2 linked regions of the Xenopus tropicalis genome follow. The protein of the gene in region 2 interacts with the protein of the main gene of each other region in a biochemical or structural test. Links are inferred from orthologs where the notes say so. Each region holds a gene or a part of one and is shown on either strand. Other genes may lie near its edges. The genes, in order: hoxa5 and foxa2.

Region 1 (9,603 bases), on a different chromosome or scaffold from region 2:
GAAATTATGTGTTTTTGTAGGTATAAACTTATAAGTACAGGCAACAATAAAAGACAATGTAACAGGCACTAAACACTGAAAACTGCTAGATACAAGGCAAGTCTGTGGCATTTTCAGATACATTATATTACAAAACCATAAAACATATTTATGAGCTGCAACAAATATCAAAGTAACGGGTCGTAAAATGTAACACAAATGTTACGTCAACATAACACAGCAAAGGCAATAAATGCACTCTGTAACCCAAACCTCACACACCAAATAGCTTTACTTCTTTTTAACTGGTAAATCTATATGTAAAAGACCAAGGAATGGTTAGGTTTAGATGGCTAAATAGACAATAGTTCAACAGATGATAGAGACGGATAGATAGATGATAGATAGATAGATAGATAGATAATATAATAGAATGGACACATGGATAGATTGTAGATGACAAAAATAGATAGACTCCATCTGTAGATAGCAAGAACATGTGAACACATCAAAGTATCTTGTAAAAGTTAAATTGTAGTTATCTAGTTACTACACAATACGCGTTTAGACTGAAATGTGTTTCGACATTTTAAAAGATCTCTACAAATAAATACACATATGTGTGTTTGTGTGTGTGTTTGTGTGTGTGTGTGTGTGTGTGTGTGTGTGTGTGTGAAATTAGAAAACCTAGTAAGATAAGTTAAGTGCAGACTTATCATAAAGATAGATGAATGATAGATAGATAGATAGATAATTATTGATAGAAAATAGATAAGAGAAAACGGATATGTGTATATATATATATATAGATGTTACATAGAAAGAAACAGAATTCTTATGATTCACTGCGATTTTTGAATGTTATACTTTAGGAAAGAACTTTATATAAATTACAACTATACATATACATACGTTTGTGTCAGGGATTTTAAAAGTGCAGAGCACAAACAAGAATGATAAATGGATCTTCTCTCACGTCTTATCTCACAGACCACAAAAGCATAAAATGTGGCAATACAAAAACAACCAAAACAACAACTGCAGGGTCTATTGATAAGTTTTATTGGGGCCATATTTTATGCTAATGTGAATGTTTAGTGCGAAAGGTTTTCAGGAAGGCGGAAATCCCTCAGTTACCAAATGTTCCCATTGCCTACCAGCCATAAAGCTAAGACATGGTTGAATTCATGCTTACAATAAGGCTAACAATCCCTCTTATTTCATGCCACTCAGACTCAAAACACCCAAATACATACATAAATATATACCTTTGGTAAAGTTCAAGATGTGAGATGATACAGCCGTGTGGAAAAATCAGGCTTGTGAATAAAAAGGTTGCCAAACACTTTCTCTTCAAATCTGCCCAAATGAAGATGCTTTTCTTATCACCCCCAAATATAGCAACTTAACTCAAAAGGCTACAGTTAATTCTGGCCATAAAGTTCATTGCTGACTAATCACACTGCAGTGTGAACTCACTATTGACTTAAAAGAATGTTGCAGTAAACAGACAGCTGGGGCCTATCCAAATTCCTTCCCAGCCCAGAAATGTACAAACCCTAGCATATATCTTAAGGGGACTCTGGAGTTTTTTCCCAAACAACTAAGCTGCGTGGAAATAGTCTACTTTCACTTTGAAACCTTGTGACTGTTCGTGTGTTTGCAATGAACCAAGGAAGGTAAGTAGTGATACTCTGAGATACATTTGAACCCGGCCAAGGTATTTTCTTTCCAGCATCTGCTTACTAAGCATTTCTTATCTACCATGTAACTAATATCTACCATATAAACCATAGCTAACTAGATATCAAAAGTCATAAAATAAATACAATTAGAGCCCCGCCAAAGTAACAAGGTAATTAACATTTGGCTACAACTGTAGCTGGGAATTTCTGTAACTCTATACCCAACAGACAGCAATGCAGTTACCCTATTTAAGAGGTATGAAAAAAAGAAAAAAAAATATTTAGCTCGTAGGATCCATGGGCCAATCTTTTAACGTTACTATTTAGCTAGTATTCCCTCTCAGCAATATAAAAATAATTATGGATACTACACTTACCTTAACTTTGTAAGCAGCAAGAATCTTGATTCTGGGCAAGGCGGCTGCTAATTAAATAGGTAACTGCCTGCAAGCCTTACGTGTCCTGCTAAAAGCCAAATGATGTCCAGCATCAGTGAGATTATATGATATGTACTATATAATGTTGGTCGTCTACTCCCTAAAACCATAAAACTTACTTTAATAGCCCCACGTGACTTTTTATAGCCAGTGAGCCTATCTGTCTGTGCTATGGAGGATTTTACGATGTAATTCATAGACAAAACCCTATTCATTTGGCAAGCAAATGTCACATAGCCGGAACTAGAGCTTATAAAGTTTACTGTTATATAACTTAAGAAGGCAAGAGGGTAAGCAGTTAGAAGGGGGATCCCTTTCATTGCCATTACAGCCTGAGAAGAGTTAGCTCTCCAAGCTAATGAGAGGTAAGTCCATTTTGAAAGGCTTGAGGTGCTTAGGGATCTGTTATGTAATCAGGGCAGTACTGGGAGCGTAAAAATATCATTTTCTATTTAAGAAAAGAACTTTATTTTCCAGGAGCCATTTTACATGAAGTGTTGGAGTGAGAGTAAATAAAGTGCTTAACACTGTGTACAGTTTAAAGGACCTGTTAATGTGCCTAGGGCCTATGCTATGCTAATATTTTTACTCATTGATCATTGTACATAGATTATAGATTGTCCTGATGAAGTGTTATTCTCAACAACCAGTGATTCACATAGCAGAGCGTTTTTCCATCAATCAAAACACTCACATCCCTAAAAACCATGCACTTCTCAATACAAGCACAACAAAGATCTTCAGTAGAAAGTTTATTTTTTTTGTTGTTGTTTCCAGTCATAATTTTTCTTGAAAAAAAAATTTTTTTTTTACAAAAAAATTGGAACAATTGCGTAATCTGCCAAGCTCCACTATATTATTGAATTTATAAAACAAAACACATTAACCAGACGCTGCGATTCCAGCCATTTTCAGTAAAGTTTCGTGCAAACGTTTTTTTTTTCCTTTTTTTCTTGTTGTGTTTTTTTTTTCTCATTACAAAAGGCACAGCTAGGACAGACACAATTTGTGTCACAGCTACTTAGACAATATCACAAGATAAATTGGACCGCAAAGTCACTTCTACAACATAGTTATTTTTCACAGGAACTCTAGGTAGTTTCATGAAATTGTGGGAGACAGTTGGAAGGCATTCAGACATGGTCACACTACACGAACATATACAGGGGTCTGCAGACACAAAACATCTGTAATAAACGTTTGCTGTCGTAATCTCATTTTTGTACAGTTATTTCAAGTAACACATAAGCGCTTTACATACTCAAATAAGTTAAAACATTAAATTGTCAATACATAGGCATCCAAGGACAAAACATTTACAGGAAGCAGTTGAAGCTATTTCACCCAGTTTAAAGGCTCATTGCTAGGATAAAGGGTAGACAAGATATTAGGGAGGAGGGTATCTTCACAGAAGTCACAGAGAAGAGTTATACAAAGTGGTGGTGACAATATACAGGTTTAGCTAATACTGAATCAGTACATTCTTTAGGGAGGGGAAATTTAAGGACGAAATGCACCCCCAGCCGCTGCCATGCTCATACTCTTTAGTTTATTGTCTTTTTTCCACTTCATTCTCCTGTTTTGGAACCAGATTTTAATTTGCCTCTCAGAGAGACAGAGTGCATGGGCTATTTCAATCCTCCTCCTGCGGGTCAGGTATCTGTTGAAATGAAATTCCTTTTCCAGCTCCAGAGTTTGGTAGCGGGTGTAGGCTGTCCGGGCTCGCTTTCCTTCTGGCCCTCCTATGTTGTCTGCAAGAGGGACACAACATGAGTTAGAGCAAAGGAACATCTTTCTAACGGTGCTCAGACCTACACTGGGCTCTCACTGGGCTCTCAGTGCCTGAGTATGGTACCCACTCACAAGGGGAGAAAATCCAACACTTTATGATAACCTCTACTTTCTGCATCTCTCCCAACAATCCTCATCTGACCGACCCAATTTTTACAAAATATTAAGCTTTTACTTCCCACTTTCATATAGATTTAGAGAGAAAAACATATTTATTCTCCCTCTGTATTTTTGGGCGGCCCTTACAGGTGTTCATTGCCCAAGGCATTGAAACCAAATATCCTGTTGTTTTTTTTAATTATATTTAAAAGTTGAAATACATCATGAAGTTGTGATGGTGCTAAAATGAAAGTGTTCTTTTCAGATCAGATGTGACACCAATAAAATGCAGCTGCCAATTTCCTAATATGCCTGAAATGTTTTGTAGCAGTAATTCTAGTCTAGACAGGCTAAGGCATCAAAAGTTGGACCCTATTCCTTCTGCTGTTTAATTTTTTTTTTCATTTAAAAAATATATATATAGATAAGAGATAGGAGGCGTATTTACCATGGCTTATGTGCAGTTTTCGCATCCAGGGGTAGATTTGGGGTTGCACTGACGGAGCTGGGCTTTGGCTGTTCTGAGAACTTGCCTGGTCGCTGCTTGCTGGGGCATCATCCTCAGCACCAGAAGATGCACCCAGCCCATCTCTGTTAATGTGAGTGCTGGTGCCAGTGCTGCTGTTGCTTGAATTGGACGTGGTGTTGTTGGAGTTAGTTATGGAGTTTTTGCCCCCTTGGTGACTGTCGCTGACAGGCGATGTGGCTACAGCGGTGCAGGGCAGAGGGTCAGGTGGAGGAGAGTGAGCAGACGCTGCAGGTTGGTTATACCTTGGCTCTGTAGAGGAGCTCGGATTGGATGGATAATTCCTTGCTCTGTCATTGGCACTAAAGTGGTTGGAAGCTGAGCGCCCAACGCTGAGATCCATGCCATTGTAGCCGTATCCGTACCTGCTGGAATGCATGCTCGTTGTATCCCTGTATTGCTCGTTCACCGAGCTGTGATCTCCATAATTATGTAACTGGTAGTCCGGGCCATTTGGATAGCGACCGCAAAATGAGTTTACAAAATAAGAGCTCATTTGTTTTTTGATATGTGTGCTTGATTTGTGGCTCTTGGTCGTTTTGCGCGTCTATAGCACCCTTGCACAATTTATGATGAATTATGGAAATGACTGGGACATGTACTTGGTTCCCTCCTACGTAGGCACCCAAATATGGGGTACGACTTGGAATCACGTGCTTTTGTTGTCCAGTCGTAAATCCTGCCTGATGACCTCTAGAGGTAAACTGGTGTACTAGTGGGGGAGCAGGGAGGCTGCTAAGGGAGCGAGCGTTTGTGCGCGGCCCCGTGTAGAGCTGGAAGCTTTTGAGCAGCCTCTTGCGCCACCTTCTGGCTGCCGAACTGTCATTACAGTCTCCCCGGCCAGCAAAGAAGGGACTGCAGGGCCGGGGTCGAATTAAGGTTACATCCCATTACAGGAAAATTATTACATTCCCCTCACAGCTCCATTAGTGAATACCAAATGTACCGGCTCACAGGCACAATCCGGCGCATTAATAGCGGGGGAAATGCACAAAGAGGTTTTGTTTCAAACCCATTCAAAATTCACTTTTTTGGTCATTTTTATTTGTGATATTACTACATTATTTTGTGCCTCTTTGTCAGTCATTGCGTCTGTGAATAGCGCCCAGGTCAATATTATCTGCCACTGATCAGAGCCATTTATGACGGGGAACAAGCAGTGGCAGTTCGGCTCTATTGTCTTTTGAAACATTGTTTTAATTCACGGAAAAACAATGTTTTAAACGATCGCTGTAATATACATTTATGTATGTATATATATGTAATAATCATACTTAGTAGTAATTCTTTTTTCTCTGCCTTGTCCCTGAAAAGCGCCAGCACCTTTCACCGTCCCGTTACCCCCCCCCCCCCCCCAATTAATCCCATACAGTTGTACAATAAAATGAATGGAGTAAATATTGCTAGGAGCCAGGTTGTTGCAGTCTCACCCAAAACTGCCTTTCTGCGCTTCCCCAGGAGAACTGTACATCGCCGCAATATTCCATATAAAGGAGAGAAACGAATTTGCAGGGAGGGATAAGATTTCTAGTTTCTTGTACAGTGAAAATGAAGATCCTGGTATTTAAGAAATCACCAAGCGCAGCACTGGAAACCTTTGTCTGCGACTGTTCGGTTGCATTTTACAAAGAAAGAGCTGATATTCACATTGTTTCGGGCAATGGAAAGGAAATTAGGATTTCCGTTGTTTTTTTTTTTCTTTTGTCTTCCCCATGTTAAGTGCCACTATACGACTATGGGCATTGCAGCAGCAAGTCAAATATAATAGATATGGCGCAGACCCCTGCATAGGGGAGTGTAGCTGGCAAAATTAGAGTCAGGCTGCTCACCGAAAATGAAAAATACAGCCTTTGCTCTAACACAAAACTATTTAGCTGTAGCGTGAGTGTGTGTATGTATATATATAAATATATATATATATATATACACGCACATATTTTTATTAACTAGTGAGCGTCAGTATATGGAATTTCCCAGCTTCTGTGTATAAATAGCGCAATGATGAATTCTTATTTATATCTGTCATATATATAAAAGGGCATCCGAGATCCAGACTGAATAGAAGGAGGCCCGACACGTGTCTTTAGGTGGTGCTTTTCTCCTCCTGTTTGCCTTCTGAGGGGTCGTCGCTGGGGTGGGATGGGAGCAGGAGTTTGCTTTCTTTCTTCCATTTCATCCTTCTGTTTTGAAACCATATTTTGATCTGTCTTTCCGTGAGGCAAAGGGCATTAGCAATTTCAATCCTTCTCCTCCTAGTCAGGTATCTGTTAAAATGAAATTCTTTCTCTAGTTCTAAAGTCTGGAACCTGGTGTAGGTCTGCCTCCCTCTCCTGCCATGGGCACCATACACTGGACCTGGAATAAAGGAATATAGGCATGTCAGCTACCGACACAGAAAATATCCTGCCTCCTTCACTTTAAATCACACATACACAGCAATTAGCAATACATTTCTCTATGTAACTATAGATATTAACACATCCCTTTTTAAGAAATCCACCTACATCCCACCTTATAAATAGAAATGAACTACTTGCCTCTGGGTATGTGTCAAATTCGCAAAATCAATATATATTATACCGATATAGAAATATATATATTTATACTTGCCAGCGTATTTTTCGTGTATGTACCATGAATTAATTTCCTATACAATGCTAATATACAGCAAGCATATTTTGCATGTATTACATGTACCATTGCAACCAGTAACTAATAAATGACACATCTTTGCCAGTTTTTTTTTTTTTTTTGGTGGCAAAAAATACCCACGTGGTTTTGTGCCACTCTTGCAGCGCCACTGTATTGGGATTCTTATTAAATGTAATATAACTATTTCCCTTTTCTTTAAAAGCGGATACACTATAGAATCAATGCAAGTGCAGAGCATTTTAGTGCTGAACTTCCATTGGCTGTCAGTGTGTTTGAAGCAGATTGATAAAGGATCAGGTGTTGGGGTCCCTGTTCCACTTTGTCTCGGTATTTCCCTATATTATTGTTACCAATGTGTATGGAGTGTAGCACAGGCAGGGACTCACCAGTACAAGAGTTGACCCTCTGCATCCAGGGATAGACAGGGCTGCTGTACTTCCGGTCGGTGGGTTCCTCATGTAGCATCTTGCCTTGGGCACTGGCAGATTTATATTGCTGCTGATCGGCGGAGAAATGTAGATATTCCCCACTGTCCCCTCTGTGTTTAGTCCCATATGAGGACGGGCTGCCGCTGCTCTCCTTGCCCGAGTAGAAGCAGGATGCCCCATACTCATAAGAGTTTCCATTGCAGGCAATAAGGGTGTTGGACTGCTGGTAGAAACAGGGTGAGGGGTAGGGCTTGTCCTGCACAGGAGGTGACCCATAAGCGCCCGGAAAATGCCTTAAAGCTTCATAGCCAGATGAGTAGAGGGGGATCTGCCCCACAAACGCCTCTTGTCCATTGGGCAGAGTCCCAGGGAAAGTGCTATTCACAAAGTACGAACTCATTTGCTCTCACTCTCCAGTTCCGTGATTTGTTGTGTATTAGTACATCTGCCTATAACTATTAGCACTCATCCAACTGGTTTGTTTCTGGATGGCCGAGAGCCAAAAGCGACAGAGGCAAATCTGAGCAGCTGATCCCTCACTAGCCAATAGGAAGATGCGATTGTGGCGCTCCCCTGGGACTGGGGTCTGAGCCAGCAAACTTCCAAATTGCACGCAGCTTCCCAGCACATCCATGTACCAATCATGTACTGTTCCCATTGCAGGGAGGGCACTTGGGAAGGATCTTGTTTACAAACTAGAGGAGCGATTTTGCAAAAAAAAATAAAATACATTTCTATTAGCCACAAATTCAAGTTATTGTCCGTTTAAAATGTGCAAAAGTGTTCACCCCTAGGGTGATCCTCAACTGGAGACGCAGGCAATTTATTAGCAGTGCATGATTAAACTAATTACAGTCAGCTAGTGTATGGAATGCATTGCCACACCGGCCACAGGGACCTAGAAAGGGAATAAATAAGCCAGACCTCATATATACATGTTTGTTTTTATTTATATAGCGCTGCTTCTCTATTCAGCATAGTATATTTCGCAAGGCATTCATAGAAAGGACAAGAAAAAACAAACAGTACAAAAAGTAAAAATACACACGATTACAAAGATTAAGTGCCATAAACTGGAGGAAGGAGGTCCCTGCCCACAGATCTAGCAATCTAAATGGGTCTGAAACAATGCATAATGCAACCAGATGCAAAAGAAAAGGGCAAAAATATCTAAACGGTATAATATTGCAATAGCAACCTGGGCGTATTATATTTGCATGCAAGTCTATCTATCTATCTATCTATCTATCTATCTATCTATCTATCTATCTATCATCTATCTATCTATCATCTATCTATCTATATCTATCTATATCTATCTATCTATCTATCTATCTATCATCTATCTATCTATCTATATCTATCTATCTATCTATCTATCTATCTATCTGTCTGTCTGTCTGTCTGTCTGTCTATCTATCTATCTATCTATCTATCTATCTATCTATCTGTCTGTCTATCTGTGTGTGTTGCCTTAAACTAATTTAAATAAAACTAATTAGTATAATCTATTAATTCTATTAATTCAGCATTCCTGTAAAACCATTATATATATATATATATATATATATATATATATATATATATATATATATATACACACACACACATTATTGAAGGCATTAAAATCAAGTTTGTATTGGTTTCCCCATTCTGCTGAAGCTACATTTTTTTTTTATATTCCTATTATATACTTGTGTGTGGGGACAGAGATTACTAGATAGATAGATAGATAGATGACGATAGATAGATAGACACAGAAAGACAGGCAGATAATTTGCTCAGTATAAGAGTTCCAGTGTTATTTGTTGGACCCCCAAAGGTATTGGTTTAGACTAACTCAAAGGAAATATATGCTAATCTATAGGGTTAAATGTAAATGTCCTTAACTATGGTAACATCCCTTGCTCTCTAGGAAACAGGGTTCAACGTCATCAGTAATTTTAGTCCTAATAAATCATAATTTTACTGCAGGTGCCCTTATTGCAGGTAAAAGCAGTGCATTG
Region 2 (9,453 bases):
ACTCATTTAGGCACAAGTAATTGACAGATCCAAGGACCTGCATTACTAGAGAAATGGGAAGAAATTAATTATTTATAAACGATTAGCCTTTCTGTGTGTCCTGCTCGAATTCCATCTTGTACTGGAAATATAACTTGTCACACCAGTCATGTGTGTGTGTGTGTATGGGGGAGGAATACATTCTGACATTTCATTTAGAAGGAAGTGAAAATATAATAATAGTTATATGATATAAGATATATGTTTTATATGATTTCATAATAATATGATTAACATTACTAACTTAATATGTGTAAGATATGTTACAATTATAAAGATCATGATATTAATATTTACAGTAATACAATACTGATACTAATAAACTATATATATGTGTGTGTGTGTATATTCGTTTTAATGTAACTGCTGATACAAAATAGATTAGCAGTTACTGAGGGTAATTGCTGTTTTGAATTTCGGATAAATAAAAATATTTGCGGCATTTAGCACATTAGCAATGGTCTCTGGGTGGGCGCTGGGGGAAATCATTCAGCTTTACTAACAGAAGGAATTTGATGAAATCGTGGATTAACAAAACATACCTAGCATAAAAGAAGGAATATTTCGATGTTCATTAAAAGTCATAAGGGAAGAACTGGAAAAGATGGGAATTGTTAGTGAATTATTACAGATACATGTCGGTTGCTCAGTTATATACATTTACATATAATTGGTCGTCCGGATCAGTTATAAAATTTGCTATTTACTATACTAATTGGTTATTTAAACCAACTGCTTGGAAGTTTATTAATTACAGACATAATAATCGAACTAGGAGAAAGCACCACTCCTTACACTGCATATAATGTTGTAAGAATTTAAAGTAAAAGTTGAAAAAAAGAAAACAATGCCAATTTTTAAATATTAGGAGGGCTTACGCTAGAAATAGAGTATGCTTTTGACAAATAAGAAATAGTACAAAATGAATCTGCAAATCCACTTGACATCATTTCATTCGTTCTATTTAACAGTGAAATAACTGCTAAGACAGTGTGACACTGGATGGAACCTTCCCTACAGGCACTTAGCAGTTCTACCTGCAGAGATAAAGTTCCAGTTGCAGGGCTGCCCTACAGACACTTAGCAGTTTTCCCTGCAGAAATAAAGTTCCAGTTGCAGGGATGCCCTACAGGCACTAGTTTTCCCTGTAGAGATAATATTCCAGTTGCAGGGCTGCCTTACAGGCACTTAGCAGTTTTCCCTGCAGAAATAAAGTTCCAGTTGCAGGGCTGCCCTACAGGCACTAGTTTTCCCTGCAGAGATAATATTCCAGTTGCAGGGCTGCCCCATAGACACTTAGCAGTTTTCCATACAGGCACTTAGCAGTTTTCCCTACAGACACTTAGCAGTTTTCCCTGCAGAAATAAAGTTCCAGTTGCAGGGCTGCCCCATAGACACTTAGCAGTTTTCCCCTACAGGCACTTAGCAGTTTTCCCCTACAGGCACTTAGCAGTTTTCCCCAACAGGCACTTAGCAGTTTTCCCCTACAGGCACTTAGCAGTTTTCCCCTACCTGCAGCCGCTCCCGGTAGCTCCGAGCATGACTTCCCCAGCTGCTGAATAGAGGCGGAAGTTTCGCCGAATTTATAGAAGATCTAAGTCACTGTTGACTCTAACACAAAGCAAAGATTTCGCTATTGGGAAAACAAAGAACATTTCAGAGGGGAGATATTGATCAGCTTTATAAAATCTGGGTGGCAGAATGAGTGCGGAGCGCAGGAAAGGGAATATAATAAGTGAGTCAATTTGCTAAAGAGTGACGTGCTGCCGCTGTCGCTGCTGCTGAAAGTTTACCCTCCTGGAATCTGCTGGCGATTTTTTTCTTGTTTACTGACTTTGTTTATTCACAGCTCACGCTCGCTTAAACCAGCAAAGCGCTTGGAAAATAAATGTACTAGTTGCACAAACCCCCACCTTTTTTTTGTACAAAAAGCGCAACCCGCGGAGCCTGGGCGGCAGAGAGGGGCCGAGTGCGGAGCCAGGAGAACGTTCCGCAGGCTGCACTGGGGCTGACAGGCTGACACAGCGGCAATCGCATCGTTTTTATGTATCGGGGCACAACTCCATGTTATCTGCAGGGATCAGTGGGGCAGGACACGCTAAGTAGTTTAAAATGACCGCAGAACAATAGGGAAGTGATAGGGAACATAACAGGTTAGAGCATCACACTGAAAGGGCAATTGTTCCCAAATCAGCGCTATTCTTTGCTCCCATTCTCCTTCCCAGCGGGGAGCCTTTATGTGCTAATGAAACACATTTCTGCTCCCTTCTCAACGTGTGTGTCCTGCCAGTGTGGGGACTGGAGGGCTCTGCCGGGATCCGAGCTGTTTAACCCCCAACAATGTGGATATTAAGAAGGATTTGAATGTTATTTTCCTACCACTATCTATCAGGCCCTGATCGTGTGGGAAAAATGACTCTACAGTGTTTTTCTGCTCCTGATTTTTCCTGACTTTCCTTATGGACTCCCTTGGCTTTCCCAGAGCAGGGAGACTTGCACAGACTGGATATTCCAGCTTTCCCTATTCCCAGGGACACATATCTGGGCAGGTGGCTGGTTCCTAGCATTTCCCTCTCTCTGGGTTATAAACTCTCTCTAAACTACACACATAAACATATTTACATAGCGGCATTTTTCCAGTTCTCTGGACACAATATACTGCCCTGGGAAAATGCTGATCTGAGAGGCCTAGTTTATATGTATATTGGTTTTAACCAACTTTTACTCCTAAAACCCAGGATATGGTGACCTACAGTAAATATATACACACACACACACACACATATATATATATATACACAAACACACACACACACACACACACATATATATATATACACACACACACATAGACCCAGAAAAAGACAGGAAATAATACAATAATAAATACATGTAGAATATGGAGAGAATAATGTTGCACACATTATCTAAATCTGGTGTAGCAGGGAATAACATGGTTTTAGATAGGATATAAAATAACAAATGGCCAACACCTATAAGTCGGCACACCTGTTTAATTTATCATTGGCCGCTCCCACTTAATACATTGCCAAAGTCTAGTTTGATACCGGTGACTGCTGCCAGTCCTGCCCACACACTTCTAGTTTTTATGTTGTGTTTATTTGTTGTGTTTAAATGTGCTTAGACATTGGCTTTCATTTGTTAAATAAAAAAAATCGTTTTATTGTATTTAATGTATAAAATAACCATAAGAATTAGGGTTGGAGCGCAGCTGGCTTTCTTAAAAGTCGCCGTCGGGAATCTACTGTGTTATGGCAAATATTTAAGCATTTATATGTATAAAAAAGAAAAGATTTTGAATATTATCAGGTATGTTTTTCTCCCTTAATTTTCTCTCTACTCAGCCGAATAAAGGTCTCACTGGCATGCACACATGATATTAGTAAGAGGGAATAGGTCACTTTAAAATCAGCCGACTATACAGTAACGAATCTTTATTATTATTATTAGTAACAGTAGTAGTATTTCATGCACTCTAGTACCATGGAAATTCGTTACATAAAAATTCGTTATAAAACTTGCCTGTGAACTAAACCCCCCCAATACAATGGATCCTTTATCTAATCCCATTGTGGCAGAACTTTCATGGACTTGTGAGAAATTGAAGGGAAGTGTCAGCAGAGCAGAACCCTTCAGCCTCCCTGTATCCCACCTTGGTACAGTCCAGACCTTGGCTTGTGCTCACTTATCTGATTCACCTTCAGCCACAAAAATATGTGTATAGAGGTGGAAAGAAAAATCCCGACAGAAATGCCAATTCATTTTTTAATAGAGATTGTTAAACCGGCCGGTTATGGCCAGAATACATACAGCAGTCATAAATAAAACATACAGAAACCATAAATTAACCAGTTTCAAGCATCTCCCCCAAACAAATAAAAAAAAAAAACATCTTTTTTTTCAATTACATCAATATATTCCGTTTCTGTTTTTTTTAACATTACCAATATCACACAATTTTGGTCCTTAGGGAAAATTAACAGATTTCACACAGAAAAATTAGGATCCGTCACTTTCACAAAAATATACTCCTTGCCAAAGAAAAGCACCCAAATCAAACATAGCTTAACAAGCTAAGCTCCTATACAGAAACAAACTCGGGGGACTGTACAATTCAATAGGAATGTAGACACATACTATGTTGTTTTTCTTCTTAATATTATATACACAGAGCCCAGGTGACAAGTCCATGGTAGAAAGTCTATGAGGAGTTCATGATAGGTCTAGAATACACACCTTGATAGTATGAGGTGTCACTGGAAATAGGTGAAGACTCTAAGCCACTTTTGTTTGTTACTGTGCTCATTGCCAGGCTGCCAGTCATGGGGGACCCGTAACCAGAGTAGTGCATCACCTGTTCATAAGCTTTTAAGTCCATTTTATGGTGATGATGGTGGTTGTGGTGGTGGTGATGGTGGTGCTGTTGCTCTGAGGACATGAGGTTGTTGATGGAGAATGGGTGGTTGAAAGAATAATGGTGTTCTGGTTTGAGGTGGGACTGGGCTTCATGGGACAAGACAGAGTGGTGCTGGGAAAGCAAGTGCTGGGCTTGGGAGGCTGGGGAGGCTGCATGGTCTGGGCTTAAGCCTTGGCTGGACTTCATATCTACTAGAGACCTCTTCTGCTCCTGGCAGGGGGACGAGCTGGAGTGCGGGGACTCATTGCCCACTGAGCTCTCAGAGCTGCTGTTGGCTGCAGAGCCCACACTCGATGACCCTTCTGAGAGTTTCTTGCCTCCCCCTTCTCTAAGGCTGGGCTTTTTCTCGCACTTGAAGCGTTTCTGTCGCCTCAGGTAACAGCCATTCTCAAACATGTTGCCCGAATCGGGGTGTAGGGTCCAGAAGGAGCCCTTTCCGGGCTTGTCAGGGGACCTGGGCACCTTGAGAAAACAGTCATTGAAGGAAAGAGAATGGCGGATAGAGTTCTGCCAGCGCTGCTGGTTCTGCCTGTAGAAAGGAAACAGGTCCATGATCCACTGATAAATCTCGCTGAGAGTGAGCATCTTGTTGGGGGACTGCTGGATCGCCATGGTGATGAGCGAGATGTACGAGTAGGGGGGCTTCGCATGCGTATAACTGCGCCTGTAAGTCTTGGGGTCCCTGGATCTGTTGATGTTGGACTGTCCATAGATTGGGCTCATTGAGTTCATGTTGGTATAGGGTGCCAGGGCATTCATAGAAGTAGCCTGGGCACTCATCGGGCTCATACTGGGGCTGAGGTGACTTGCCATACTGGCTACCCCGGTGCCCATTCCAGTCATTGCCCCGGTGCCAGGAGACATGCCGGTGAGCGATGGGCTCATCCCAGTATTCACATAGGACATGTTCATGGAGCCGGCGGTCATGTTGGCCGAGGTGCTCATAGCAGACATGCTCATGTACGTGTTCATGGGGTTCATGCTCAGCCCGGCGTTCATGTTACCCACCGAGGAGTAAGCCTGGGAACAAACGACAGGGTCACAATCTAAAAGTCGCAAAATCAACAGCAACCTGTGGCCCTCCGGCTCTGGCTGAAACACACTGTCCGTGGAGGCAGACGTGGAAGGCTGGAAGATGTAGTTCAGCAAGAGCTCGGAAGTCACAGGTTGTAGAGACACATGTACAACTCGTAGAACGTTTTCTTCTGTTAATGTTAAACAACTCGGGCTTAAATCATGTCAAATAATATTAAATACAATATACATACATATATATAGCCCCTCTAGAAAAGATCAATAAATATTTATTTATACGTTTCTCTATACCTGCCCAGTTATAAGGCTGCCCACACATTGCTATTCTGACCCTACTGTTGATTCCATAATAAAGAAAACGAAAGTGTCAAATATTCAGAGACCCAGAAATGCTAAAAAAACAACAAAAAACGAAATAAAATGATTTAAGGAATATAGCAGCCCCTCTCCCCCCAAGCCAGCCTTGGGAAGCCCTTTGGGTATAAGGGTTCTTACTAAAGACAACTCCAGGAGAAAATCAGGAAAATGTCCATATTTAGTACAAACTGTTCTTCCTGAAAGTGTGATTAGTTAAATTCACAAGTATAATCTGTTTTTTTTCCATACAATTCCCCTTGCCTGTGCCCATTGCCTTGCCCCCCCTGCCCATGCCAAACAGAACTTTGTTGGGACAGTGTGTGGCTCAGTCATCGAGGAGGATTTGGAGGCGCCACAAGTCAATATTTGATGACCAAGTTAATATTATCCCAGGGCTAACAGTGCGCTATAAAGAGGCAGAATGAGGCAAGGATTGTGCCATTAGCGACAAGCGGCTCTTTACCTCGGGTTCCCCGTAGTAGCTGCTCCAGTCTGTGGCTTCGTGTCCTTCCATTTTCACAGCCCCGAGCATACTGGAAGCTGAGTGCCTGGCAGTTTAAAATTTAACTGCCACAACAACTACGACAGCGATAGCAACAAAAAGAGAGAGAGTGTGAGGGAGCCAGGAACCCTCCCTCTTCCTCTCTGATCACTAGGAGGGGGAAGGCTGGAGGTGGCTGCTGCTGCTGCTGGGCTAGTGTTGGGCACAAATGGACAGCCAGAGGGGCTGCTCAATGAGTGGGATGGGGTTTCAGGGAAACTGAAGTAGCAAGAGGTGCTGCAGGGGGTGAAAAAGACCTCAGGGTGCTGCTGCTGAGGAGGAGGATGATGATGATGACTCCAAGTCTAGTAGTGACGTTGCTGCAGGGTGATATAGCACCCAGCTCCAGGCAAACCTCCAATCCCCAGGTCTTCGCCTGCCCATTTGAATAATCAGCTCACACCTAAGTGCCAGACTGTTCCTTGGCCCTGCTATTCTACACCTGCCTTAAACCTATTTGAATAGATTCATTAAGCTTTAATCTGATTGTGCACTTCCCTAGGGGAGGAGTGGGGATTGGACGAGAGAAGGACACAAACTCACTTTATTACCCAATTTTTTTGTTCCTCTACATGGATATGGGAGAAACTGTAGTCACCTAAACTGGCAGATATCTTATTAACTGATACCAAAGCAAAATACAACTCCCCAACACACATTATTTTATACACCATTTTATTTTATTGAATTCACAATCAATATGAATGGCAAATAACTGGGACGCATATACAGATAATAGAAATAAGAATTATTACTCCCACATAAGATAATTGGTTGCGATTTATTTCAGAACCAATGAAAGTGCAATTAGGTAAAGGTTTAACGATAAATAACAGAAATAGAATAAAGTGATAATGCAATAAGGTTACATTTTTAATCTCACCACAATCAGGAAAATTCCATTCCAATTTGATACAAAGTCCTGTGAATCTTTACAGAAAGTTACCTTAAAAACCCAGATCCCAGGGAAAGGGAAATGCCAAAATAAAAATTTATTACAGATAATACATTTGAGTATGAAAACCTATCCACAGCATCGACTCAAAGAGACGAAATGTTCTACGATCTTGTTGTATTCCTTCCAATCTTGCCCCAGAACCGACGATAATCCACTTGCATAAAATATAATAAAATAGATTTGTTCTGTATTTTGTATAGTGTCTGCTCCATCTGCCTGAGATCTGTCATTTGCCGCCCGTTCCGACTGAACTAAGCGCACAAGCAGAGCTGCAACATATATTTATTCTGGAGGGCACGTTTGCTGTTTGAGATATTAAACAAAGTAAAGTTTATTTAACGTGTTTGATCATCGCAGATTTAGCAGATCGTCTCAGGGATGGTCAATAAATTGGGCCTTAGGAAAACAAGGAAATTCTGAAGAGGAATAAAGCGTTGCCTTTCGTTTGAACAGCCCTGCAATGTACAGAAAGCTAATCTTGTACAATGAGGGGAAATTACTAATAATAAAATAAAACAGAACGCACAAGCTGTATACAGTAGGGAGGTGGGAGGCATGTGTCTAAATACACATTGTTTATATACTAGGCTTTGACTGTATGTATACTGAGTGTAATGTACACACACACACACATATATATATATATATATATATATATATAGATAGATGATAGCTAGATAGATTTATATATTAAAATTTAAAAATAATTTATATTTATGTATACACATTCACAAGCACACCTATAATAATTTTATTATAAAAGCGCAGCAAAACACCCAGAAGCTCTAGACAATCAAATGCAATATAATAAACTAGGAACCAGCCACAAATACTTCACTATTTATTTATACAAATCTATATGGGGCTGCCTTTAATTATATAAATTAGGTTTATACCAAAATACAGCTATAAGGATACCAACTAGGACGTTTCTATTTTTTTTTATAATGGATAACTAGATAGAGTTATATATTAAAATATTTGCAAAGTGCAAATCTTATTAATTATTAATAAATCAGCTATAAACTGGCAACAGAAAGTTAGAATATAATCTAAAAATATAAGGCTAGGAAAGACAGGGAAATGCAGAAAAAATTCAGTGCAACAGCTAGACATGATGTGGATATTATCTCAGCAAAGTAGTAAGAGAGCGCCCCCTAATGTTAAGTCACTGCACTTGCTTTTAGGCAGGACTCTCGCAAGATCAAGACGTCTTTTTTCTTGGGCTCAGATCCGCTAAAGGTCGATATTTCACAAAGTGTAAATGTAATTTAAAAATGAAAAAAAATATGGACTTATTCACTAATAAAAAATAGTTACCTATGAGAGCCCATTTACAGTGTTAATAGGCGTATTATAAAGACAATCTAAAAAGTAACAGTTATAAAAAAGGATAATAAAGCCGCCATTCCATTGAAAAGAGGCACACACATTTATATGTATTTATCCAAGTGTTTGAAATGAAAAATCGAACTATTATTTTTTTGTACAACACCAGGATATCCCTGAGAAACCCCCAATCTTTTGATTGTGATTTAGCACTGTTTAGTAAACCTGGGCCAGTATAACAGAAGTATTTTTAGGGAGCCAGCTAAACCTGTGAATTCTGTGTCTGCCCAACTGCAGAATAGTAGGCAATTCTCCCCCCCCAACACCTGTTTGTCATTAGGCTAATATCCAGGTCTCAGTGCCAAACATTGGCAAAGGGTGGCAATACCAATATATAAGTCAGTGGAGGGCACTCAGACACCTCTATCACAAATTAAAGCATACAGATTTTGTGCAAATAAAACGCCCAATAAATACCCCCATATGGAGTACTAAAAATCAATGTATTTTATGCAAATAAGAGCTTGCACACAAATAATCACTGTGGTAGGATAAAAAGAATTGTCTTTTATGAAATCTCAAGGATTCCCCTTGAGAAAGGCTTTCTTTGCCGAAACGTTGGGGTAATTCTCATCTCTGGCAAGTGTACCACTAACTTGTGTGTCTTTTTTACGGTTTGCAAATTTGTGGTGTATGTATTGTCTTTTTATAAACTCTGTAAATTAAAACTATGTATTGTATTAAAACGGATTAATG

The links.
Region 1: the proteins of foxa2 (region 2) and hoxa5 form a complex in vitro, tested with the Homo sapiens proteins (2 studies listed by BioGRID). The link is inferred for Xenopus tropicalis from reciprocal best matches to the Homo sapiens genes FOXA2 and HOXA5.

What each region holds. Positions count from the first base shown.
Region 1 is NC_030682.2:42,179,862-42,189,464, forward strand, and holds hoxa5 (homeobox protein Hox-A5), read right to left. Parts: upstream 5,074-9,603; 5' UTR 5,014-5,073; coding exon 4,440-5,013; intron 3,853-4,439; coding exon 3,602-3,852; 3' UTR 2,841-3,601; downstream 1-2,840. Other genes in the region: hoxa6 (homeobox protein Hox-A6), read right to left, coding at 6,601-6,872, 7,556-7,997. UniProt on the Homo sapiens protein: Sequence-specific transcription factor which is part of a developmental regulatory system that provides cells with specific positional identities on the anterior-posterior axis. Also binds to its own promoter.
Region 2 is NC_030681.2:35,622,385-35,631,837, reverse strand, and holds foxa2 (forkhead box protein A2), read right to left. Parts: upstream 6,432-9,453; 5' UTR 6,402-6,431; coding exon 6,333-6,401; intron 5,498-6,332; coding exon 4,262-5,497; 3' UTR 3,812-4,261; downstream 1-3,811. UniProt on the Homo sapiens protein: Transcription factor that is involved in embryonic development, establishment of tissue-specific gene expression and regulation of gene expression in differentiated tissues.